Linked DNA regions of Alligator mississippiensis. The protein of the gene in region 2 purifies or fractionates together with the protein of the main gene of each other region. This does not show direct contact. Links are inferred from orthologs where the notes say so. Each region holds a gene or a part of one and is shown on either strand. Other genes may lie near its edges. The genes, in order: RRS1 and REXO4.

The links.
Region 1: the proteins of REXO4 (region 2) and RRS1 purify together in Homo sapiens (co-immunoprecipitation; 3 studies listed by BioGRID and IntAct, with this or other methods). This does not show direct contact. The link is inferred for Alligator mississippiensis from reciprocal best matches to the Homo sapiens genes REXO4 and RRS1.

What each region holds. Positions count from the first base shown.
Region 1 is NC_081826.1:64,238,951-64,246,195, reverse strand, and holds RRS1 (ribosome biogenesis regulatory protein homolog), read left to right. Parts: upstream 1-4,699; 5' UTR 4,700-4,761; coding exon 4,762-5,796; 3' UTR 5,797-6,470; downstream 6,471-7,245. UniProt on the Homo sapiens protein: Involved in ribosomal large subunit assembly. May regulate the localization of the 5S RNP/5S ribonucleoprotein particle to the nucleolus.
Region 2 is NC_081835.1:60,923,836-60,931,253, forward strand, and holds the start of REXO4 (RNA exonuclease 4), read right to left. Parts: upstream 3,012-7,418; 5' UTR 2,997-3,011; coding exon 2,826-2,996; intron 2,534-2,825; coding exon 2,181-2,533; intron 1,561-2,180; coding exon 1,408-1,560; intron 1,162-1,407; coding exon 968-1,161; intron 461-967; coding exon 372-460; intron 1-371. Other genes in the region: ADAMTS13 (A disintegrin and metalloproteinase with thrombospondin motifs 13), read left to right, coding at 4,527-4,601, 4,850-4,916, 5,831-6,114, 6,491-6,632, 6,861-7,000.

The DNA.
Region 1 (7,245 bases), on a different chromosome or scaffold from region 2:
GCCCCTTTTCATCTATTTTACAAAATTACTGGCACATTGAGTTTTCCTGACAACAGTATTCATATAGTTAACTATTCTCACAGCAGTCTTAAGAACTGGTTGAATCATCTTGCAACTATATCTACTGCCATCCAGAGGTAATTGGCAAAAGTTTGGAGAGTAAATCTGTCACTAGAAGAGAGAACATGAATATTATGTATTAACGCAAGAAAAACCCCACAGCATAAAACCGTAAAGTTGTTATCCAGTCCAAGAAAAGCAAAAAAAAAAATATTAAGCTGAATAATCCATTTCTTTTCTTTTTCTTTGAGACAGAAAAAAAAGAAACAGGGTTTTTTTTGCTGTCTTAATCTTGTAGCTCATCTGGAGCCCAGCAAGGAGCTGAATACCTCTTCAGAGATGCAAAGCATCCTTAATTCCCTTTGAAACTATGGCAGCTGCTCAGCAACTTAAAAGATCATGTCCATACTGAACCAGCCTTTCAAGTGAAGTCCCTAAAACAGGATGACTTATTTTTCATTGGTATGTGCATTTCAACATAAAGATTCCCACATAGGTTAAGAATTTCCACATTGGTGCCTAAAGCCAAAAAATAAATTTTGGGATTAAATTAGGCTAGGGCTTATAAAGGGACATAAGAGGTGTACAACTACAATTAACTTTCTGTAGAGTTGGGTACCTAGGAGACCTCTGCAATATATTAGCATAACAAGGTGTGTTTTAAAACTAGTATGATACTTTTCATTTCTACGGCACTCACCTCTATGTATCTATTTTAGGGTTTTGTATTAAGGCTGGAGATCATAGTAGCGAGCTGAAAAAAAAAGATGTATACAGTAGAATCTCCATAGTATCTAAGTACTATCTGAATGTCCCAGAACAATTAAAACAGTAATGAAACTCAACAAGCACCTGTGAAGTAATTATTATTATCCACATTACAGAGATTGAGAAACTAAAGCACAGAGAGATTAAAACCAAATATCTGGTCCAAAGTTAAGGCCCAAGTTTTTGTTCATTAATTCTAAGTACCACCAGCTCATCCTTAGACACTGGTCCTTATTGTACAAGAGCTGAGCACTCTCAAATCTGGCTACAGTCAGTGGGAGCTCTGGGTGCTTATATCTATAAAAAGTATACTCTAGGTTTAAAAAACTCGGCACCCAAAAGATGAGGCAACTAAAATTAGCAGGCACATTTGAAATTCTGACCCCATATAATCTGCCTAAAAGTCCATACGTTTGTCAGAAAAACTGGAACTAAGGTTAGAACTCATATTCCTATCCTTCAACCCCAAGGTTATCCTTTCCTTTTTTTTAATAGGTTAAACATGCCCCTTGGAAGTGCATGGGTTCCTATTCACTTTAAAGGGAATCACGCACGGGCTTTTCTTTGTTTTCTGTTGTGACCCAAATGATTTCTGCTTTCAAATTCTGTTTGGTTTACAAATCTAGTCAATTATCCTTCCAGCTGCCATCACTGCACACACATCCTGATATCACAAAGTCACACTTTGTCCTGTCTGAATCATACATCAACACTAACAATCAGCAGCAATAAAGATTCTAGAGTTAATAACTGCAATTTTGCTGATGATACTTGAAGCAGAGTAGAATAAAGCTTGTTCTCTTCAGTTACATTACATGGGTTCTTCAATGCTAAATGTACTAAAGTTTGATTCTGACAGTAAAATAAGTAGATATAGCTAGCTCCCACACACATGGAACAGGTGTGTAAGAAATCACTGAGCAGTACATCCCAGGGTGAAATTCTGACTCCATGGAAGTCTACAGCAAAACTTACATTGTCTTCAATCAGCCCAGGATTTCACCCAACGCCTTTAAAACATTGACTGCTGCAAATATTGCAGCAGCTCTTTCAGAGCCATTCTGTAAATGCATCTTCAGATAATTTAAAAAATGCATATCACCATCAAACCATGGGTTATTTATTCAATAGACAGTTACAACACACTCTCAAAGCTATTTGTGCTACCACTTCAAAGTGCCATATAATTTTCAGGGTGTGATTTCTGTAAGCAGGAAAAACCCTTGTTAAAATGTCTACAAGTTGCCACAAGTAGTCTTGGTGTTTTACTGTATAATCATGTATAATCATGCTTATAAACACACAGGACCAGTTCCTTGGCTTTAGCTACAAAGCACACAATATAAATCATAGGGCAGATAAAAACAATTATACCAGATAAATTGCTAACCAAAAGAGTTGCCAAAACTGGAGTTACTGTCTTCAGGATCTCCTTTTATTTCTGCTTTTTTCAAATTGATGTATTGTTAGCATGTAAAATCACAAGTGGTATTCACTAGCACACTCTCAGAGCTCTGTGCTGTTGGGCTGTCTAGGGATACAAAGCATCCATATGCTTTGTTAAGACGAGTATATAGCTCCTTGTGCTGTTGGTGCAGCCTAAGACAGAAAGAGTATGCAACTGAAATAGGACCAATATTTACTACTTTACCAGATCAATATAACAGAAAATACCCAGGCTGAACTATAGACAGATAACTCATTGGGCTAGACTCAGAAAAATACAGAACAAAAAGACAATCCCAGCCCTGCAAAAAATTGCAGTCTATGACAAGAGATGGACTAGATGGCCTCCCGAGGTCCCTTCCAATCCCTAACTCTCTATCAATATAGAGTTTAGGAAAATAATGAAAAAATATTCATGAGAATGTGATAGCAATGGAATTTACTTATGCAGCACAAAAGTCTAAAAAATTCTCATGTGTCTCTAAAATAATGGTCTCAAGTCCCGTCTTGTAAAAGATTAGCAGAACTGTCTTTAAAGTCACTGGTATCTGTAATTCTAGATGATCACATCAGTTGTCCAAGAGAGTGAACTAAATAATTTCTAATATGCTACCATCTTGTGGTAACTGAGAAAATAATCTAGCCAGGTTGATCTGTTTTTAAATGCTTTGGCAATTTCTTATGCTATATTATGAGTCACCATCAGATGGTATATGTTGTTTGTTTTGTTTTAAAAGAACACCCCATCATAACTACAGATGTTATAATGATGGAGGTATTATGCCAAATAGTTTTATGCGGGAGATGTGAAACACTACATCTTAGAACTTGAGAGCCACTGTTTGATTTATAAGCGGGAAAAGAAATTGCCTAAGAACAACATAAACATTATAGATGCGACATTAGACAGAATCTTTTCCTCTGTGAAATGAGAATGATTTCTTCCCTTTCTCAAAACATTATGAAAGGCCAGTACATTTAATCATACTAACAACCTGGTGCCCACAGTCGTCCTCATCACATATACCAGGTCTAAGCTGCCAAGCTCTGTGGTGATGAGTTCTACAACTTAAATTACATGCTGTGTTACAAAAATATTTCCTTCTTATCAGTTTTAACTGTGTTGCTTTTGAATGGCATTAGACATCTTTCGATATCATGGGGGAGAGAGGTAACTACACGAATAGTCCGTGTATTTTCCCAGTAGAATTCACTGACATGTCTCCTAACACGTATCACCTCTTTTAATTGAAGTCTTAATCTTCGGGGGGGGGGGGAGGGAGAAGAAGGGAGAAGTGGAAGGGGAAGGGGGTTGTTTTGGGCTTTTTCATGACCACAGAAGTCCCTCAGTTTGCAGATAATCTCTACCACGGCTCCTTGATGGGTCTTGAGATGACTTAAGAGTCTGATCCTACAGCCACAAACCCATTCACGGAAGTTGCAGGTCTTTCTTCAGGGTACGGAAAGCCCTAGGCCAAGATGTCTCTCCTTTTCCTGCCCCGCCTTCACACATCTGGCATAATTTTTCCCGCCCAGCTCCTATTTCTGCTGTAGCTTCCCTGGGACTTAAGGATTACAAAGGTAGCATAGAAGCCTCCCCTCACCACCACCACCTTGCATTGCAGTGGCAGCGGAAGTGGTAGTGCGCAGGCTCTGCTGCCCCATCCCCTGCTCACTGGTGCAGGAGCAGGACCCCGAGATGGACCAGAGGGACAAACCTGAGCTGTCCCAGCCTCAACAGCCGCACCTGCTTGGTGAGAAAAAAAAAAATCTGAACTAAGGGGCGGTGGGCAGGGGGCCCTCAGGCAGCAGGGCCACAACAGCAGGTGCCTCAGCATTGCCAGGTGTTCAATATGAAATTATCGTATTGGGAGCTCAAAATGATTGTATTTTCTGAAAAACTATCATACACTGAAAAATAATGAAATAAGTATGCAAATAACTCTTCTTCTTTTTTACTTACTATTGCTCACTGTTAAACTGCTGTGAGTGAGAGAGACCTGGATCATCAAAGTTGAAACATTTCTTTTTTTCAAGGCAAACAGCCAGAAGAGAGTGTCGACAGCAGCCCCGACTCAGCTAAGACTTCCTGAGCATGACTTGGTGCATATGCTGCATCAATTAGTTGCCTCAATAATCGTCCTACATTTTGAACACTTTTACTATTACTGATTGTACACTGCACAAGGGCTGAAATGATTGTACAAAACCGATCATTATCGTACGCCTGGTAACACTGGGGTGCTTCTGCTATACAGGGCCTGGCGCCCAACGCTGGGGGCGGTGAGGAGGGCGCTGCTACAAGGGGTGCCGCAGTACCGCGGGGAGGGGGAAGGAACTACGAACCCCAGCATGCAACGCGCCGCCCGCCCCCCTGCCGCCGGGCTCCGCGCGGGGCATTCTGGGCAATGCAGTCCCGCGCTGCTTACACTCATCCGGTGCCTTGACCCGGAAGCGGCCCTTTCCCGGCCACTCGCACGTGGAGCCATGGCGGCCCCGCGCGCGGAGGAGCTGCTGGCGGGCGTGGAGCCGGCGGCCCTGCCGGCGCGGAGCCTGGTGGTGCACAAGGAGCTGGAGCTGGACTTCGACCTGGGCAACCTGCTGGCGCGGGACGGCAACCCGCCACCCCGCGCCGCCGCCGCCGCCCAGCGGGAGGCCGCACTGCGGGCGCTGGCGCGGGACAACGCGCAGCTGCTGGCGGCCGAGCTGTGGGCGCTGCCGGCGCGGCGGCCCGAGGGGGAGGCGGCGGGGCCTCTGCTGGCCGAGCTGCCGCCGCCCGCCACCCGCCTGCCCCGCGAGAAGCCGCCGCCGCGCCCGCGGCCGCCCACGCGCTGGGAGCGCTTCGCGCAACTCAAGGGCATCCGACGGCGTAAGCGGCCCTCGCTTGTGTGGGACGCGGCGGCCGGCGATTGGCGGCGGCGCTGGGGCTACGGGCGGGCGGGCGGCGACCCGGCGCGGGCGTGGCTGGCCGAGGTGCCGCCCGGGGCTGACCCGCTCCAGGACCAGCTGGGACGGCAGCGGCGGGAGAAGCGCGAGCGCGTGGCGCGCAACGAGTTCAGCCGCCTGCGCAACCTGGCACGTGCCAGCAGCTTCCACCCCACTGGCCACCAGGGCCGCCAGGAGCTGGGCCGTGCCGCCTGCCTGGCCCGTGCCTCCACCGCCTCGCTCGGCCGCTTCCAGCCGCGCCTGCCCCGGGAGTCGCCTCTGCCCCTGCCACGCAGCGCTGGCAGCGGCAAGAAGAAGCGGCGCTTCGCACCTCTGCTGGGGGACCTGGCGGCCGAGCGCGGGCGGCAGCTGGAGTTGGTGCGCACGCTGGCCAAGCCACCACCACTGGACGTGGCGCGCGCCACCAACAAGCAGCTGCGCCAGGAGGACGCCGAGGTGGCATCAACGAGTCGCGCCAAGGGCCGCAAGCGCAGCGAGCGTGGAAAACGGGCACGAGGGCGGGGCACCCCCCAGCAGCGCCGCCGGGGGCAGCAGAAGCAGCAGCGCCCGGCTGGGGGCAAGAGGAGGAAGCGCTGAGCATGGCCTGGGCCCTGCCTGGGATTCCCCCCCACCCTCGTGTGTCTGGGGGAGGGCAATCTCTCCCAGCCCAGAGTGGAGCTGGGGTACCCCCCAAGAGACAGGGCACAGGCCTGAGCCAGAAGGACTTGCTCCCCATTTATATGACAGGACCCCATTCTCGTTTGTCTTCTTGTGGCTGCGCTCAGAGGCTGGAGATGCTTTAGCAGGACTGACTGGTTACAAACAGCACAATAGACATGGGCATTTGCTTTTGAGAGGGTTTCTGGGACTGCGTTGTGGAAGGACTTAAAGAGGGTTGTTCCATGTGTTAAATGAGCCATTGAAAGTCAGCGGCTGTTTCCAAGCTTACTTTTTTGCTAAGCAGCCTAAGTATGTTCCTCCAACTCTGTCACCCCTTCATCTTTTCTCCAAGCTATCCCAGATGGGTTTGGTTTATTTTGTGTTCTGCCCTCTATTAAAATTGTAAGAGCTATAAAAATACTGCAGGTCCAAAGTGTCTCTTTCTCATGGCCTAGAAAAGCAGAGATGGGTCTGAACAAGAAAAAGTTCACTGTGTGTATGCAATTCCTTTCTGTGCTGCTGAAATGTAGACCAAAGGTTGTGAGGAATCACTTTCTAGAATTGCTCCCTACTGTGAGAAGGATGTTGCAATAAATGAAGATTTTGTGGTTTGGGGTTTGTTTTTTTTAAATGAGGTGAGTAAAGTTCTGGCTTATTTAATTGAATTGACTACGTGCATTGGGGAGAGTTAACATGTCTCAGAACATTAATACTGTACTAACTGGTATTATCTAACTAAAAATGTGGCACAATTAACATTTAAGATTGGGTAGATAAAACAGCAACTTGGAACAGTCAGAAGTTGCTGTTAGAAGGGAAGATGACTGGTACTAGAGCAGGGCTGGGCAATTATTTCGGGTGGAGGGCCGCTTACCCAGTTTTGGCAAGCCGTTGAAGGCCGCAGGGGTAGTCCCACCCCTTGACAGGTGCCCTGCCCCCTGGTCACCATCTTGGGACCAATGTCTCAGGGCCACTACAGGCAGGGAGCAGGCTGGTAGAGGTCTGTGGAGCTGGGCTGGGCTGCACCGACAGGGAGAGGGGGGAGCTGGCCCTGCTCCATAGAGCCCCTGCCAGCCAGGACCCTATACTCCTGCTGCCCTGGTGTAGGCCCCCTGCTCCCTCTGGCTCTTGCACCCTCTCACTCCCAGTGCCCAACTCAGCCCTGTGGTACAGGCAGGGGGTAGCGCACAGCCCCGACCTGGCGCTTGCTGGCAGGGAACAAGCTGGTGCTGAGCATGGAGGAAAAAGGGCCCTGCCCCATGGAGTACATTCCCTGCTGCAAGTGGCTGCAGCCCAGGGCACCAACCATGGGGCAGGGGAGGGGCCATTTGTCCCTGCACTCAGCACCAGCTTGTAACCTTCCCTGCTGCCAGCATGGGCCCCACG
Region 2 (7,418 bases):
CTTCCTATGGAGACTATACAAGGCGGTTGTGCACATTGCTCCTGCTTGAGCAAAGTGGAACGCTAGTCTCTGAATTAAAGACGCTGTGGGCCTTGCCTTACTGCAGCTCTTTGCAGGCAGTGCTACAGCTACTCCCAAATATGAAAATAATTTGATCAACCTGCTGTTTGTTTCTAGACTAGAAGGAAATATTGAACACCTGCTTTGTTACCTGTACAAATTGGACTGCTATACAATATGGTGTCCAGCACAGGTGGAATCTGGGTATTAAGATACTGCAACCTTAAGCTTAAAAATTTCTAATCTGTTTTCTTGGGTAACAAAAATCACTGAAGTTTTACCTTCAAAGCAACAACTATGGAGATGTGTACCTTTAAGTCATTGTGGACAGCATGTCCAACTAAAATCCTTCCTCTCAAGATGTCAGCCACCTCCTCCTGAATTTTTTTAAAGTCTTCTCCTGAAAATGCAACATAAAAAAATGGTTTCAACATGGACATTACACAGCAACTTAGCAAGTTGAGTGAGCATTAGAAGACCATCATGTGTGGAAGTCACTTTCTTAGGACCCAAGATGCAGAAGAATGCATGATTCTTGTACTTTGTCATCCCCTGCTTGTTCAGAGGAAGCAAAAACAGGAGACCAGGACAGATGCCTTGCAAAAAAGCTGAAACAGTCAACTTCCACTTGTTGGTCCAATGCTAGGCTTGCATTTAAGCAAGTGTTAGAAACTACTTTTTTTACTGGGGCAACAATGGCCTTTTGGGGCAAATTGCATCTTTACAGAATTTTTTATTCATTCTCCCCTGAAGTATTCTTTTATATTTAGAGATATTAAGGTTGTGCAAGTGCTTTATTTCTTGCTCAAAAAATAGAATTCAGCAGGCTCCTGATACACTGACAGTAACTCAGTAAGTTGCATAAGGTTTTTCTTAAGGATGTTCTGGGGAAGGCCAACCTACTTACCCTTCTTTGTGTCCTCAGGCCGTATCCCGCTAACTTCTGTCCTGTAATCGGTCACCTTTTCTGTAGGCTTGACATATTTGTCATAAACGCACTTTCCAAACTGGTTCACGATTGATACACGAGCCACAATGCTGTCTTCCCCCTGGGGCCCCACTCCTATCATTTCACAGTCCATGGCTACAGCTTTTGTGAGTCTAAAAGAAGAAAACGGACACGCAGATTAGAAAGCCCTTGCTGAGATTGCGTACTTCTGACTGCTACGCTGACAGGTGCGGCACCCGTTAATATAACCGGAAAAGTTAACACCACAGAGCAGCTATAGTCTCTGCAGACTCTGGAAGACACTGTGCATACTCTGTCCACAGCTGTAAGAATGGGAGTAAGTTTTTGATGCCTCCGATAAGACTGTTGGTACTTGTTGCATTAGAAATACAACCTACCCACTGAAAGCCTTTTCTTTAACCAGCACCTGTTCCACAGTTGGTTTGGACGTGCTTTCAAGTCCCATTTTTCTTCTAGCAACTTCTGCTGCTTCAGGTCCTATTGCTGCTTCAATATCCTCTGGATCAACCCCATCAAACCAGATGTCATCCCTGGTAAGCAAAAGGTAAAAAGGACCTTTTTAATACTGTTCGATTTGGCTGTTTACAGTTTGGGTAAGCTTGATGTTTACAAAAGAAAGGAGTTACCTAGTTAGTCCTAGTCAGAGCCAACTAGTTCAACAACCTGAGCATGCAGACTACAGTTTTGTTCAAACATTTGAATAACTGGGTTAATCAGAGTGGTTTTTACTTCTCTCTTATCCCAGGCTCCTCAGGGATACCTTGTCTTTGGACTTCTTCCCGTTCCTGTTATCCAGTCGAGCCTCCTGAGCTGTGCCTCCGCAGTCTAATGTCTAAATTCTGAATCTGAAGTCAAAAAGTCCCCAAAATAGTTGTTTGAACTGTAACCCCCCCCTACCTGAATGGGAAGGGAAAGGAAGAGAATGCAGTAACTTGGTAGTAGGAAAGGGGTCTGAAATACTTGGGTGGACGCATCATAAAGGAAAGAGGGTTTCCCCTCCTTAAGAAGCACAGCATTGTATTAGCATTGTATTAGGTTTTCCCTCCTCAAGAAGCACAGCATTGTATTATCCTTTATTTCAAGTTATTCAGCTGCCACTAAAACAGTTTAAAGCACCGACATAAATGGGCATAAGGTTTAAAGCACTCACTCCGTTGGCGGCTGTTCTGCGCGCTCGTCCGTTTTCCTCTTCTTATGCTTTATGTCCCCCTGCTTCGTCTCGCTATTGCCGGTTTTCCTTTTTGCCTTGAACTCTTTTCTGTTGCTCCGGGCATCGCCCAGGCTCTCGCCCGGCGCAGTTCTCTCCGATTTCACATTCGTCGGAGAAGCTCCCGCTTGGCCAGGACCACCCTCCGTCCGGTTTACAGGCTTGAATTTTACCGTGTTCCCGCTGCCATTGACGGCTGGAATCCCTTCGACGTCTTTCGTCGCGCGCCGCGGCTTGGGAGACGTTTCGGGGGCCGGGAGGGATTTCGCCAAGCCAGCCGCCTTCTGTTTCAGCACCTAAAGAAACACCCAACAATTAACCGGAGCGTTCGACTTTACCGTCGTCCTCCCACCTGAAATCCACCAAGCCCCGCTGACGGTTTTTGAAGTTAACTAGTTCTTAGCTTAAAAACTAGTTAGAATTAAAAAAGTTTCTGGTTTAAAACTGATGTGAATTACGAGATAAATAAATAACAGATAAATGAAATAACAAGATCTTGGGTTAAAACTCATTTGAATGTAAAAGTCCGTGGTTTTTCCGACGCTCGCTCGGTCTCACAGCAGGAGGGAGCCAGGCCCAGCCCCGCACCTCCTGCAGCGCCCGCCAGTTGGCGGAGAAGTCCCGCGCCGCCCTCGGGGGCAGCGCCAGCGCCAGCGCCAGCGCCGGCCTCGGAGCTCCCGCCGCGTCCCGCGCCCTCGGCCGGAACCACCGCCGCCGGGCCCGCCTCGGCGGCGCCCCGGCCTCGGCCCGGCCCGCCATGGCCCCGCGCGGCCGGAAGCAGCGGGAGGAGGACAGCACGCGACGCTGCCCCGCCCGGAAACCGGCCCCGATAGTCCCCCGGCCGGAAACGGCCCCCGGCAACTTCCGTTCCGGCTCTCGCGCATGCGCCGTGTGGCTCTGAGGGCGGGGAGGGGCTGGGTGGGGGAGGGGCAGCAGGGGTTGTAGTGCAAGGGGCTGTGTTGGGGCAGGATGCAAGGGGCTGCATTTTTGCAGGAAAGGGGTGCATTGGGGATGGAGGAGGCTGCAAGGGCTGCATTGGGGCTGCATTTTATAGGAGGGGGCTGCATTGGGGCCAAGTTAGGAGCACACTGGGCAGGTGGGCGAGTCAGTGCAGGCCCCAATAGGCCACCAGACGTGGGAGGCCGCAGCTGTGTGATTGTGAAGTGGGGCAGTCCAGTAGCGTTTTCCCCAGTGGCTCCCTAACTGTGGCCTTGTGAGCGCTTGCCGGCGGCGGGCAGGCGGCTGGCTGCTTGGGTGCTCCTTCCTGCTCCTCGGCAGTTGCCGCAGGTGCGCAAAGCTGCAAGCTAGGGTCTGTGCCAGCCAACGCTGACTGCTCTTCACGTGTCCGGTTCATTTCTGAGCGTACGCCGCTACGCACAAAACGTTAGCGATCCGACTGAGGACACATCTCGGGTGTTTCCTCGGATTTCTATCTCAAGTCTGGGGTAGTAAGAAGTCTAGAAACTCAGGGTAGAGCCCACGGTGCTGCCGGCGACGACTCGTGGTCGTTTTGAATGCCCGATGAGACCAGCACTGACGAAGTGAACTTGGCTTCGCAAAACCTTGTGCGCTCTCTGTCTCTAATGACGTAGTCTATAAAAGTGCATATCTTACCCTGCCGTGTGACTGACTTCGAGCTAACGTGGTGGACTACCTCTCTCAGCACATCCTGAGACACTGCCACTTTTATATCTTCATCCAAAGTTGTTCATTTTTACCAGTGGATCCACACACACAGTAACATTTGCAGTCAGCACAAAAGTCTGGCTGACGTGTTATTTTTAATTGCTGGGAATTGAGCGCGTACTAAATCAGTTAACTGAGCCTTAAGCGCAGCTCTTGCAAACTCGGCGAAGTTGTGTTTTGCTCTCCCTCTAGAATAGGGGTAAGTGAAAATTTTATCTGGGTGGGTGCTGCTGATCTGGCCCTTAGGAGCTGGAAAGGATCCTCTTCCCCAGATTTGATGCTCCAAAGCTGCTTTTCTTTTCCTGTGTTGCTTCTTTACTTGTTTACTTGGCTGTTAAAACTGGCCCTGGGTTTCCTAGTCTTACCGTGCTCTTTGGCTGTAGTAAAATTGCAAACATTGCGCAAAAGCTGTCTGTCTCTCTCCAGCTGTTCCTGCAAAGCCTCACAGCAGCTGAATAATCCCCTTGGCAGCTCCTCCCTGGAGAGGATCAGCTCTTGTATTTGTTTAAACTCTGTGTATTCCTAACTTCCGTTCCATGTGATGCCTCAGGCTAAACCTAAGGCCAGTATTTGCTCTGCGGTGTCAGCGTGAGCTCTTCCACAATGAGCACCCGCTTTATGATCTTAGCTTTTACTATGTTCCCCTTGGGCTTCGGCTGGCTATCTCCTTTCCAAGAGGTAAGTGTGACTCCTTCCCCCCTGCCCACCTCCCCCCAAAATAACATAATGTATGTTCAAACCAAAGCTATGAAACCTCACTAATCATTTCCTCTGGATGATCTGTGTGTTCCATAGGCTTAGTGCAAAAAAGCTGAATCAAAATGTAAAACATCTAAGTTAATAATTAGGTTTTGATAAATTAAAGTCATGTGTCTACATGGATTTTTTTTCCTTGAAAAGGCAAAGATTTTTTTTTCTTTTTGCAGAAATTTCTCAGGGCTTTGGATCCAGAAGATGTTTTTTCTTATTTTGGCACCAAGTCAGTTCTTGATGGTATGCAGGCCTACTTCTATCTTAATTCTGGATTGTATTGTATGTTTAAAATTGTTTCTAATATGGCATATTTGAAGAGCCTTGTATTAACATTAACCTAGATCTTATGATACTTTCAGTGTGAATGACCTTACTCATGTATGCAGTTCTGGCTCTAATGTGTAAATGTCTAAAGAATCGGGTCTCTTATTCAGTAGTCTGTAAAATGGGTCAGAAATTCCTTTTGATTATTCCATTTAACTCTGCTTTATGCTAACTTATTGTTTTAATGCAAAACTGGTAGAGTTATAGACTATAGATAACCCTAGGGACAGATCCAAATCATCTAGGTCCAAGTGTATGGACTGAGGATGGTTGTATTTATTTAGAAACATTTTGGAGACTAGAGTAATATTTTGAGATTAGGCTGATAATTCAAGACTAAGGAATTTAGCTTGTTGGATTCCAAGGGTAGGGACATTGTGTCTCTCTCTCTGTTTGCCCAGTACCCAGCATGCTGTTAGTATTTAAATGGTGATGATTTACTCTTAAGTAATGCCTGACAGCTGATAAACTCAAAAACATTGTGACCCTTGTCAAATAAACTGTTATCCCAGTTTTACAGAAGATGGGGAAACAAAGGCATGGTTACAAATCTCGAGTACAAGCAATCACTTTTAAAGCTGAATATAGACTTGAGACCTCCCCGGTGACTGCAAGTCTATGCTTCAGCAACATGATCGTCCTTAATTTTGGGGTAGATAGAAACACAAAAGACTCTGGCTGGTGACATTATTTAAGGGGTGGGTCACAAGCTCTCCGGAGAGGGCTGTTCTTCATGGAAGCAAATTGATGACATGTCTTTTCCCTTGTATGTCTGTTGTCACTGTGAACGGTTCCTGTAATTTTTTGGTCATTTCCTTTCTTTATTTCAGTACCTGAGTTCATTGTTGTTCAGCCTGCTTGCGCCTGTGAAGAAGACCAGGTTGGACTGACCGCTTGTAAAGTCCAACGCTGTTCCCTTCAGTCATGGGGACAGCTCTACACCTTTGAATTTCTAGAGGATCCTGATCTCCTTCTCCCTTCCTTTGTGAGCCATCGAGTGCTGAACACTTCTGTTAGCTTGCTAAAATGGTTCCCAGGCAACTGCTTTGCAGAGGGAAAACCACTGCATCCTTTGGGGGCTGTGTGTAGGGTCAGTTACTGCGAAGGACAGCTGGTGAGTATGTCGCATTGGCTGCAAGGGGATTCTCATCTGGGTAGGAGGGAGATTGAGCTAGAGGCTGAAATCCAAGCTTTTCCCAGTGTTCACAAGGTTTACAGTCCAGCACTGGGATTTGGGATCCGCTCAGCTCTTTAGTACAGCACTGTGAAGGTGCTTGAAAGAAGACCTACCATGTATCATTGCTGCTTTGAAGAGTTTACAGTTCAATGCAGTATATGTTGCCAGCTTTCAGACAGAAGAAAATATCAAGACTGGCAAATAAGTAAAGAAATAAGACATAAGAGAGTGCGGGAAGAGAGATTGTATGTGACTTGCTATTGGCATTGGAGGTCATTGGAATAACAGAGGGCTGGATCTTTGTCTCCTATAGCAAGGCATCATCATTGCAAGTGAAGAAAAGATTCACATCAGGCCTGTGAGAAGTAAACACTGGAGCCTGCTGAAGGACCTCAGCTTCTTCAAGCCCCACCTCATCTTCAGAACCACAGAGAGAGGGGCAAAGACAGCAAAAGGTATTGGCCGTGCTGGCCTTGACATAGGAACTGACAGTCTAATGCTGCCCCTGGGCACCTTGCATATGTTAAATTGCCCAGGGTAGCTTCCTCCTAGCACTTTGCAGATTCCTACCCGCACTGGTTTCAGTCTTGTGAATGACTTGTGCTCAGCAGAAGGGAATGGGCCCCCAGGAGCCCCCAGGTCTTCTTGCTACCTAAACTCCCCTTCGCTCTGTTGTGTTATAGAAAAAAAGTTTCATCCTCGCCATTGGAAAAGGTCTGAAGGGACTGTCAAGCACCTGGAGCTGCTGGTTGCAGCGGGCCCAGATGTGTACCAGTTCCATAGAGAAGACACTGAGAGGTATATCCTCACCAACCTGAACATTGTGAGTAGCTTGCTCTTTGTTTTCAGTGCACCATCTTAGGGCTCTGTGGTGTCATGGGTTCAGCGTAGCCTCTGGAGGGGCTTCTTGCTCGCCCTCCAGTCATGTGTAGCATAAGCTTCTGAAAACATTTGCACGGACATTTGTAGGGAGCACCCAGTGCTCTCTCGAGGAGGCTGGGTGGTGTGCAAAGCAGTTTCCTGCTGGCGCAGCCCTGTGCTTTGCATGGGGTCTGACCCTCACAGAGAAAGCCATGTGTATGAAGGAGGGCCTTGGCAAGTACTGTGAGTGCCGCTGTAGCATCGCAGTTGGAAAATGAGTTCCATAATTTCATTAGTGGTGTTGGTGAATACCTGGTGCTGCCTTCATTATTAAGAGTCTTTTAATCTGGAGCTGGATTCAGTGCCTGTGGGATTCAGTG